2 linked regions of the Ovis aries genome follow. The protein of the gene in region 1 binds, or shares a complex with, the protein of each later gene. Links are inferred from orthologs where the notes say so. Each region holds a gene or a part of one and is shown on either strand. Other genes may lie near its edges. The genes, in order: NGFR and ARHGDIA.

What was found.
Region 2: the proteins of NGFR (region 1) and ARHGDIA are in contact, whole or in part, in an NMR structure (PDB 8X8T), measured with the Homo sapiens proteins. The link is inferred for Ovis aries from reciprocal best matches to the Homo sapiens genes NGFR and ARHGDIA. Residues at the interface, in NP_002498.1 of Homo sapiens: Arg274, Trp275, Ser277, Cys278, Lys279, Gln280, Lys282, Gln283, Gly284, Ala285, Ser287, Arg288, Pro289, Val290, Asn291, Gln292, Thr293, Pro294, Pro295, Pro296, Glu299, Lys300, Leu301, Ile307, Ser308, Val309, Gln312, Ser313, Asp316, Gln317; in NP_001172006.1 of Homo sapiens: Ala8, Glu9, Leu11, Ala12, Gln13, Ile14, Ala15, Ala16, Glu17, Asn18, Glu19, Glu20, Asp21, Glu22, Val25, Pro30, Ala31, Gln32, Lys33, Ile35, Gln36, Glu37, Ile38, Gln39, Glu40, Leu41, Asp42, Lys43, Asp44, Asp45.

The regions. Positions count from the first base shown.
Region 1 is NC_056064.1:36,842,002-36,846,504, forward strand, and holds the start of NGFR (tumor necrosis factor receptor superfamily member 16), read right to left. Parts: upstream 2,986-4,503; 5' UTR 2,866-2,985; coding exon 2,800-2,865; intron 1-2,799. UniProt on the Homo sapiens protein: Low affinity receptor which can bind to NGF, BDNF, NTF3, and NTF4. Forms a heterodimeric receptor with SORCS2 that binds the precursor forms of NGF, BDNF and NTF3 with high affinity, and has much lower affinity for mature NGF and BDNF.
Region 2 is NC_056064.1:50,519,846-50,524,317, forward strand, and holds the start of ARHGDIA (rho GDP-dissociation inhibitor 1), read left to right. Parts: upstream 1-1,662; 5' UTR 1,663-2,406; intron 2,407-2,492; 5' UTR 2,493-2,618; intron 2,619-3,211; 5' UTR 3,212-3,238; coding exon 3,239-3,428; intron 3,429-3,529; coding exon 3,530-3,613; intron 3,614-3,977; coding exon 3,978-4,054; intron 4,055-4,133; coding exon 4,134-4,197; intron 4,198-4,312; coding exon 4,313-4,472. UniProt on the Homo sapiens protein: Controls Rho proteins homeostasis. Regulates the GDP/GTP exchange reaction of the Rho proteins by inhibiting the dissociation of GDP from them, and the subsequent binding of GTP to them.

The sequences.
Region 1 (4,503 bases):
ATAAGACCAGGTCTAGTGGTGGTTCAAGACCACGTGTCCGTCCGTGATTTGGAAGGCTGGGCAGGGGAGTGTGCCTGGCATAAGGAGGAAAGAGTAAACTCCAAGCCAGGAATCCTGGGTTCCAACAAGGGCGCTACCACATACTAACTGGGGCAACTTGGTTTCCTCTCTGAAGGCCTGAGAGGTTCAGCTTTCTCAACTGTAAAATGGGAATAACTAGATTTGTTCTGCTGGGACAAGAGAAATTATCCAGGGTAGTGCGTGGCACACGGTAGGCACTCAACCAATTTTATTATTCCCACCTCTGCGCCTCCCACCCCAGGGAAGAATCTAGGCGCGTGAACGCGACCCGGCTGGCACAGCGGGGCGGGGACCCCTTCCCTCCCGGGGTTTCCTCCCCCACCCGCTCCTGTCCTCGCATTTGCTGTCCTAGTTGCATCCCTATTAGGCGCATTAGCCAGCCGGCGGCTCCGGTTACAGACGTCTGAATGACAAAGTGCCTCCATTACCGGCGCGGCCCGTCAGTCGACCCGCCGGGATGCGCTCCGGTTTCAGCACTCTCTCGCCGCGGCCCAGGAAGAAACTCGGACCGCTGCGGTGCGCAGGGCCAGCTCGTAGACAGCAGCCCCGCGGCGAGGCAGGCGCGAGAGCCGCAGGGGTGCGGGCGGCAGATTCTATGCGGGTCCACCTTCCCGAGCTCCCGGGCCCTCCATCCCCTGCTCCCTTCCTTCTCTCTATTCGGGGGACACTCTCCAGCCCAAATCCCGAGCCCACGCCCTCGCCCCTCCGGAATCCGCACTACTGGCTGCCCCAATCCCCAATCCCCGCTCCCGGCCACCCCTACCCCCGACCCCGCCCTCCGCCCCGGCCCCGGCCCCGGCCCCGGCCCCGGCCCCGGCCCCGGCCCCTGAGAAGCTTCTGTAACCCGCGGTGTTAGTGCGCAGACGTGCCCGCGGTCACTCGCAAATCCCCGGACGCAGCCACAGGTACTGACCGCCCCGGGGGGCTGTGCTGAGCTTCGGGGATGGGTCTCTGCCCATCCCAGCCCCCCTGTTCCCGCCCGCTCGCCGCCGAGACGCGCAGCTCTTCTCTGGAGCTGGGACGCCGGGCTGCCCCGTTAGACGTACGGGAGGTACCGAGCTGGCAGTCAGGTGAGGGGCAGTCTCCCTAGGGTTCTGGCTCAACTCGCTTGTGGGACCTTCCTTGACCAACTGGTTAAAACTCTCAGAGCCTCAGTCGCCTGTCTGTAAAATGGGGGGTTGGGGGCTCAGTGCTCAGAGGAGATGAAGACGGCAGGGAGAGTGAGGACGTCTCCATTGCAGAACCTTCCAGGGCACTCCCTTCACGGCCACACATCGGGTCCTGAATGTCCTGTCAGATCTACCGGGCGGACCTCGACGCTTTCTAAGTCCCGCAGTCCTTTGCCGAGATGTCTGAGAGCCTCTCTCTTGTCCCGAGCCGGGAGTCTTTCACCGAAAGCTGGGCGGGGCGCGGGCAGAACCCCGACCCCCTCCCCCCCGGTTAGCGGAAACGTAGCGAACGGTCGCGGCGGCGCTGCGGCAGGTTGACTTCACAGGGGTCCGGGTGGCGGGTGAAGCGCGCAGTCCGGGTCGCGCCAGTAGCGGCGATCGCGCAGCCTTCGCGCCGCAGCGCCCCCTGCCGGCCGCCCTCGCCGGCGCGCCCCCTCGGCGGCGCACCGCCTGGACCTTCCCGGCTCTGCGAGTCCCGCCTCTCTGCACCCCGAGAACTGGCAGCGGCCAGAACCTGTCAGACGACGCCTGCTTCGTCCCATCCAGTCCGCAGCTCTGCTTCTAACCGCGACAATAAGTGTGTAGCGGGAGCCCGCCGGTCGCTGGGGAACCGGGGAGGCGGGTTCGCCCTGGCGAGGTGGGCACTCCTTTCCCGGCCTCGGACCCCAAACCACAATTCCCCGACCGCGCGAGAGAGCGCGCGCGACACATGCGGGGAGAGTCTGTCTCTGCTCTCTCTTCTCGTCCCACTGTCTCTCGGCGGACAGGCGGGGCCCAGACCACTCAGCTCTGCTCTCCCTACTCCGTCCTCTCTCCTTTTGCTTCCCTCTCTCCACCTGCCTCACCAGCGTCCCTTTTCTGCCCTGCCTAACCCACCTCTCTCCCTTCAACAGAGGCTCCCCGAACCTCTCCCTCCCACGCCCCTCCCCCCACCCCATTGTCTGGCTGGTCTTCATTGTCCGACGCCCGGTCCCCTTGCCTCCAGTCCCTCCGTCCTCCTCCCACACCATTCTTATCTCCTCGTCTCCGGTTCCCCACCCCAACCACGCTCGCCCCTCACTTTTCTAGTTCCCGTCCCATTCCTCGTCCTTCTCTAGCCTGGGTTCCGTCCCACGACTCTCCAGAGATCAAGATGCTCAGAGGGAAAGTCGCCTCGAGATCCCGCATTCAAGCGCCCTCTTCCGAAGAACCCAGGCATCCGAGAGCCCCACGACTCTCTCCTGAGAGACCCCTCCCAGCTCCTCCACACACACCTCCTATGGCACACGAGGACCTGCTTCCGCGCGCCCCTCTTCTCCGCATCTTTACCTTAAATCTCAGAGTCGCCTCTTCGCTCTGAGAACCTGAGACGCTCCTCCGTGGATACTGGCATCATCGGAGCTCCTCTCTCGTCATCCACCGCCCCCCGCCCCACACCCGCCCCGCCGCCGCCGCCGCCGCCAGCATCTGGGACCCCAATGCTCTTTTCTGTTTTTCCTCAGGGAAACTTGGACTCATCGAGGTTTCGGTCCCGGGAAAGAGAGCGAGCTCCCCTTCCGTTAGCACTCACCCCCAGGAGCAGCAGCAGCAGCAGGCGCGGCCCGTCCATGGCGCGGCCGGCGGCACCTGACCCCATCGCCCGCCTCCCGCGGCAGCGCTCGGCTTTCAGTTCAGCCCGCTCCGCGGACCGATAGGGCTGCGCTGCGCAGCGCTCCAGCGCCAGCCCCTCAGAGCTGGCGGAGGCTCGGCTCCCTCTGGCTGCCGGCGGGAGGGGCTAGGAGAAGCCAGTGCGGCGGCCCCGCCCTCGCCCCGCCCAGCCCGCCCACCCCCGGAACCGCGCCCGCCCTCCCCGCGGTCTCCCGGAGGGGAGAGGCGGAAAGGGACCGTGCAGGGAGCCGCGCCCGTGAGCCCCGCTGCAGCTTCTCCGCACCCCGCCCTCAAAGCTTATCCCTGACCTGGTACCCGGCGCCTGACCCGCGCTGCTACGCGTCCGTCCCGGATGCTGTGGGCTCGGATTCCCTCTCTTGCGCATCTTTCCCTGCCTCTGGCTTCAGCTTCTTCCCCGGTGCCCTGCTCCCTACCCAGCCGTTATCAGCAGTAATGCTCACTGCCCGCCCCTCCTTTCATTTCCCGGTCTATACCCAAGTCCTTCTCTGCCCCTTCCCAGTGCGGGGTTGTCTCTGCAAAGGCCTAGGGGAAGGAGGGAGAGAGGTGGCAAGTGGTCTGACACGGACCACAGACAGCTGGGACGTTCAAGGAGGAGACCATCCCGACATCATTTGAATTCTCAAAAGACGGGTCTGAAGCGATCGCAGGTGTGCACACACACAAAAAGGAATACACACACTCCCGAGGTTACATACATATGTGCTTATGCAGTCGCCTATGCCCCCGCCATCCTCACGCAGTCCTGTGGACCGGTGCCTTCTGCCCATGCCTGTGCACCTCCACACATGCACACTCATCGCCCGTGTGCTCATAACATTCAAACACACGTCCTCACATACACACTCACACATACACGTGTTCGTGTGCAGTCATCTCCATGAAACCCCTCATATGTATAATCTCTCACACAGTGCACACACACACACACACACACACAGAGATATGAACACATAGATGTATCCTCAACCATTTGCCTTCATTAGACTATGTTTCCATAAGCTGATGAGCTCCCTGGAGGCAGGGACTGCGGTTTCTTATCTGGATGCCTAGTACACAGTAGGTGTTCAATGAAGGTCTGCAGAAAGAATAAAAGAGTTGAATGGACTCACATCCACGTACATCTCCAGGACCACACTCATCATGCTCTAGAAAACTTGGAAGTTTCAAATTATAGGCCCTGGCAACCCCAGGAGTTTGCCACCAGTCTTTTGGCAGGAAGCACTTCCACCTCCACCTTGATGCTCAACCCCACCTTGCCTGTCCCCACCCTTTCCTGGTTCCCAGATAGCCCTGGAGCATAGAGTTGTAGGGGGCAAGTCTATAAAGCTCATCCCCTCACCCTGAACTTGGCCAGGTGTGGACCTCAGTTTCAACTTTGAAAAGATAGCCTTACAGGAAGAAGGGAGAGAGTCAGACACTTGTGCTTAGGGCAAGCTTACTATTGGTAGGTGATTTCTCAGCTAAATCATTCATTTGTGGGAGTAAAAATTCTGCCCTGTGAGTTTCTTTCCTGTGTAACCAACAAAATCCAGTGGCTATCCCCAGAAAGGACAGGTAGACGTCAAATCACTGTGGCCTTGGCCATGAATGTGAATAAGCTACCTCC
Region 2 (4,472 bases), about 14 Mb from region 1:
GTCCTCATGTTCCCATGCTCCCCTCCAGCACTGTACTGGGGAAGCTCCACATGCCCAGCAGAAGAGCAGAAGCAACGGCACCTCTGATACTAGGTTGTGAGGGGCACTGTGGCTTTGTTTTGCGCACTTGCTGTTTCCCTGGCTCGGATTCTCTTTCTGAGGCCTCACTCCGCGAAAGCCAGCTGCCTTACAGAGAAGCCAGAAGCTGTGGGCAGCAGGGAACTAAATCCTCCAGCCAACAGCCTGTGAGGATCAGAGCCTCCTGCCCACAGCACGTGCATAAGCTTGGAATGCTTGCAGATCCTGAAACCAGGTCCCTGGCTCACAGTTCAACCACAACCTCACTAGACGAGCCAGAACCACCGAGCGGAGCTCTCCCTGATCCTCGGTAAGGACAGTGTATGTTGGTCGTTTCAAGCTGCTAAATTCCAGGGTTATGTTTTTACACAGCAATAGGTGACTAATATAACAGAGTTAGATAGTTTTCAAAAAGCACTTGGGTTATCGAAAAACAAACTTTTGCTCAGTCAGCGATTGGGCAATGTAGCAGGACGCAGGATGAGTGCGTCGGGGACTAGCCGGGCAGTTTTCAGGTGCGCCAACAGGAAGCCTCAAAAGTGTGTATGGAATAAATACAAGATTGGAATGCTCTGCCTTTGGCCAACTCAACTTTCTACATGTTAAGCTGACCATGTGACTCTTCATTACAGAAAACTCGCAAATATTCCCCCAAAGTTAAGACATTTCCAAAAGATACCAAGGTCAGTATTTCACATTAGGTTCTGTGACCTAAAACGCCCCCACCACGTGCAATCCAGGGGTGTGTGTTTGTGATGACTCGGGTGTGAAGCATTTGAGGTCTTGCACTCCGCGAGGAGGAGGCGAAGGAAGAAGAGATGCATGCTAGACCGGCGTTGGCAGCGCAGGCTCCGCCAGCCTGGCTACAAATCATAGGCCCGGCTTGGCGCTGCAAAATCCTCGCTGGTTGAAGGCGTGGGCATGTGTCCGATAGTCGCCACGCCTGGTGGCGTCTGGGCTAGGAGCTCCCAAAAGGGCGACCGCATGGTGACTTGGGCTGGAAGGGGAAAGGCCTGGAGAGAGCTATTTGGACACCCGTGGATGAACGTTCGACGATAACTTCCGGGAGGGCGGACATCGGCGAGTGGGCGCGAAGGCAGCCTAAGGCCGGACAGCTGCCACTCGCTGACCTCGGCTACTTGATGGGATCGGCTGTGCCGGCTCGTCCCCGCGGCGTGATGGCAGCGGGCCCTCGAAGGGAGAGATGCCCGCTGACGGAGACGCGCCCGTGACACACGCGCGTCCCAGCACCTCGCAGAAATACCATGCCGCGCTCAGGTTTCTCGTGGCGCTCAGCGAGACCATCTCACTTCCCCACCCCTTCAGCTTGCCGGCAGACTCCTGAGGATACCCGGGACTAAGAAAAGCCTGTGGCAAAGAGCACAGGAGCCCCAACCGGACAAGTCTCCTTTGCCGCGCTGCCCAAACGGACGCGCCCACGAGGCCGGTCCGCAAGATGGCGGCGGCGCGCTGCCGGCAGCTCCTCGCACATGCGCTATCCGCGGCCCGCCCGGCGCGAGCGGAAGTCGCGTGACCCCGGAAGTGGCCGGCAGGGCGCGCGCGGGCGGGGCGGCGACGTTCGTCATTCTGTGCGGGAGGGAGCGCGAGAGCGGCGCGGACGATCCTCCGGTGAGTGCGGGCGGCGAGGCCAGCGAGCGCGGTGGGCACGGCGGGCGAGGCGGCCGCGGGGAAGGAGGCCGGGGCCGCGCCTTTGTTCTCGCTTCCCGCCCCGCCCGCCAGTCCCGCTGAGGGAATCTGCGCAGGGCGGGGGCGGCATTGACAGCGGGCGGCGCCCCGGGCGCAGGGCGGGCCCACGTGCGATCGGGGGCGCGGGGATCTGGAGGCGGGGGCGCGTGTGCCGGGGGTGGGAGCCGGGGTCTGTGCAGACCTCTTTTGTGGTCGCTGCTCGTACTCGGCAGCCCCCTGCTTGCTGGTGCGCGCGGACCAGGGCCAGGCGGGACGCCTCCTCCCCTGGGAGGTGAGGTCCCTGCGCCCCACCCTGCTTGCCGGGCCTCGCCTGGCCCAGATTGCAGGCCCTGCGGAAGTGCGGGCCTCGCCATCGCACTTAAATGATTTTGTCGCCTGCGGCCGCGCTTGAGTGACGTTAAGGCGTGAGCCTTCTAGAGGAATTCCAGAGGAAGCTGCAGGGAAGCTTGGAAAGAACGAGCCGGCCCCACCCTGCCTGTGGCGGCCGGGCGGTTCCGGGTCCCCAGCGGCCCTTTGTAAGATCGGGTCCTCACGCACGTCCCGGCATTGGCTGTCTTTACTGGCAACCGGTGGCCCTGACCCACCTCCCACACCGCCGGGTCTAGTCTGAGTCGGTTTCAGGTACTCCTCAGGGATTCTGCGGGGTGCGACGGTCATCCTTAGCGAAGGAAGTCCTGTGGCTGCCCCATCACTTCTCGCTTTGACAGCATTGCTCTGGGCTCTTCTGGGGCCCGGGCGGAAGGAGGATCTTGAGACTACCCATCACATGGCTGCAGCAGTTCTCAAATTCTAGGTCACAGACCCTCACAATTAGAGATTGGTTTGTCGGACAGGTAGGGTCTTTTAGGCCATTTCAGGACTTACCTGTGGGACTTAGGCTAGCCCCGTCATCTGAGCTCTAGGGGAGACCTGTGTTTGGGCTGGAGGGAGACATGACTGACCCATGTCCTGCACAAAGGCCTTGGTTTGTAGCTGGGGCGTTTTTGAAGGAACAGGCTGGTCAGAGAGAACCCAGCAAGAGGGTTTCCTTGAGGAGAGGGCCTAGGCAGCTCAGAACAAGAAGCAGCACTTGGTCCTGGTGCTTCCTGGTTGGACCCAGGTGCTGCTGCTTCCTGGGCAGCAGGGAAGCTGTGCCTGCTTTCCTTTCATTTAGCTCTGGATGCTGGGGTGAGGTCCTGTGAGGTGGGCAGGGCGAGGAGGTGAGTGGCCCCTTTGGGCTTCAGGAGCCTGTGTCTGGGCCTTTTATGAAGTTCTGGCTGTCACTGCCTTCCTGTTAGAGAACGTGCACCTCCCCTTGGGCCCAGGTTGGGGGTTTGGCCACTTGCAGAGAGCCAGTGCAGACCACCTGCAGGTCCTGCAGAAGGGCAGGTGGGGACACACTGTGGGTCCCTCCAGGCTGCCGCAGCCCCTGCTACTCTGGTCACAGGTGTCTCACATCCAGCTAGAGGTGAGTATGGCTGAGCAGGAGCCCACAGCCGAGCAGTTGGCACAGATTGCGGCAGAGAACGAGGAGGACGAGCACTCGGTCAACTATAAGCCCCCGGCCCAGAAGAGCATTCAGGAGATCCAGGAGCTGGACAAGGACGACGAGAGTCTGCGCAAATACAAGGAGGCCCTCCTGGGCCGCGTGGCTGTGTCTGCCGGTAAGTGGGCCCCGGTGGGGTGTGTGGACACCTGTCGCTTTTCTGGGTGTCCGCCACTATTTCCCCTGCTGGCGGAGCTCTAACTTGCTGTCACTCTGCAGACCCCAATGTCCCCAATGTTGTGGTGACCCGACTGACCCTGGTGTGTAGCACTGCCCCGGGCCCCCTGGAGCTGGACCTGACAGGTGAGTGGCATCTCCAGGTTCCTCGCTGGGGCTGCCTGGCACCCTGCTAATTCCCCTAAAAATAATTTGTTGAGATGCTGGCGCCCTCTTGTGGGGAGCCTAGGAAGTGCAACCAAGTGATTTTAATAAGGCTCTGGCTTTGGTGTGGCCTGGGATTGGAGGGTGGGGTGTGTGTGGGTGTCTGGGGTGTGGCCTGGGATGTCAAGGGGTGTGTGTGTGGGTGTGGGTGTGTGGGTGTGTGTGTTTGGTGTGGCCTGGGATGCCGGGGGTGTGTGTGTGTAGAGGGGCAGACAGGGCACCCCACCAGGGCCGGAGTGGCTTCCCCTACCTGAACCTCCTAGTGTGGCGTTCCTCTCAAACGCAGGTGATCTGGAGAGCTTCAAGAAGCAGTCTTTTGTGCTGAAGGAGGGTGTGGAATATCGGATAAAAATCTCCTTCCGGGTAAGGAGGAGGCTTGGGGGGATGCTGGGGGCTCGGACTGGAGAGTCTGGCTGAGCCCCGCTTGTGTGCCTCCTTGCAGGTGAACCGAGAGATTGTGTCCGGCATGAAGTACATCCAGCACACGTACAGGAAAGGCGTGAAGAGTGAGTGCGGGGGCACCAGGAGGGAGGTGGCCACCGGGGGCTCAAGGGGCGCCGGGAGGGAGCGGGGAAAGGCCCGCCTCAGCTCCCTGACGGACGCCCTCCCCGTGCCCCACAGTTGACAAGACTGACTACATGGTGGGGAGCTATGGGCCCCGGGCGGAGGAGTATGAGTTCCTGACGCCCATGGAGGAGGCGCCCAAGGGCATGCTGGCTCGAGGCAGCTACAACATCAAGTCCCGCTTCACAGACGACGACAGGACTGACCACCTGTCCTG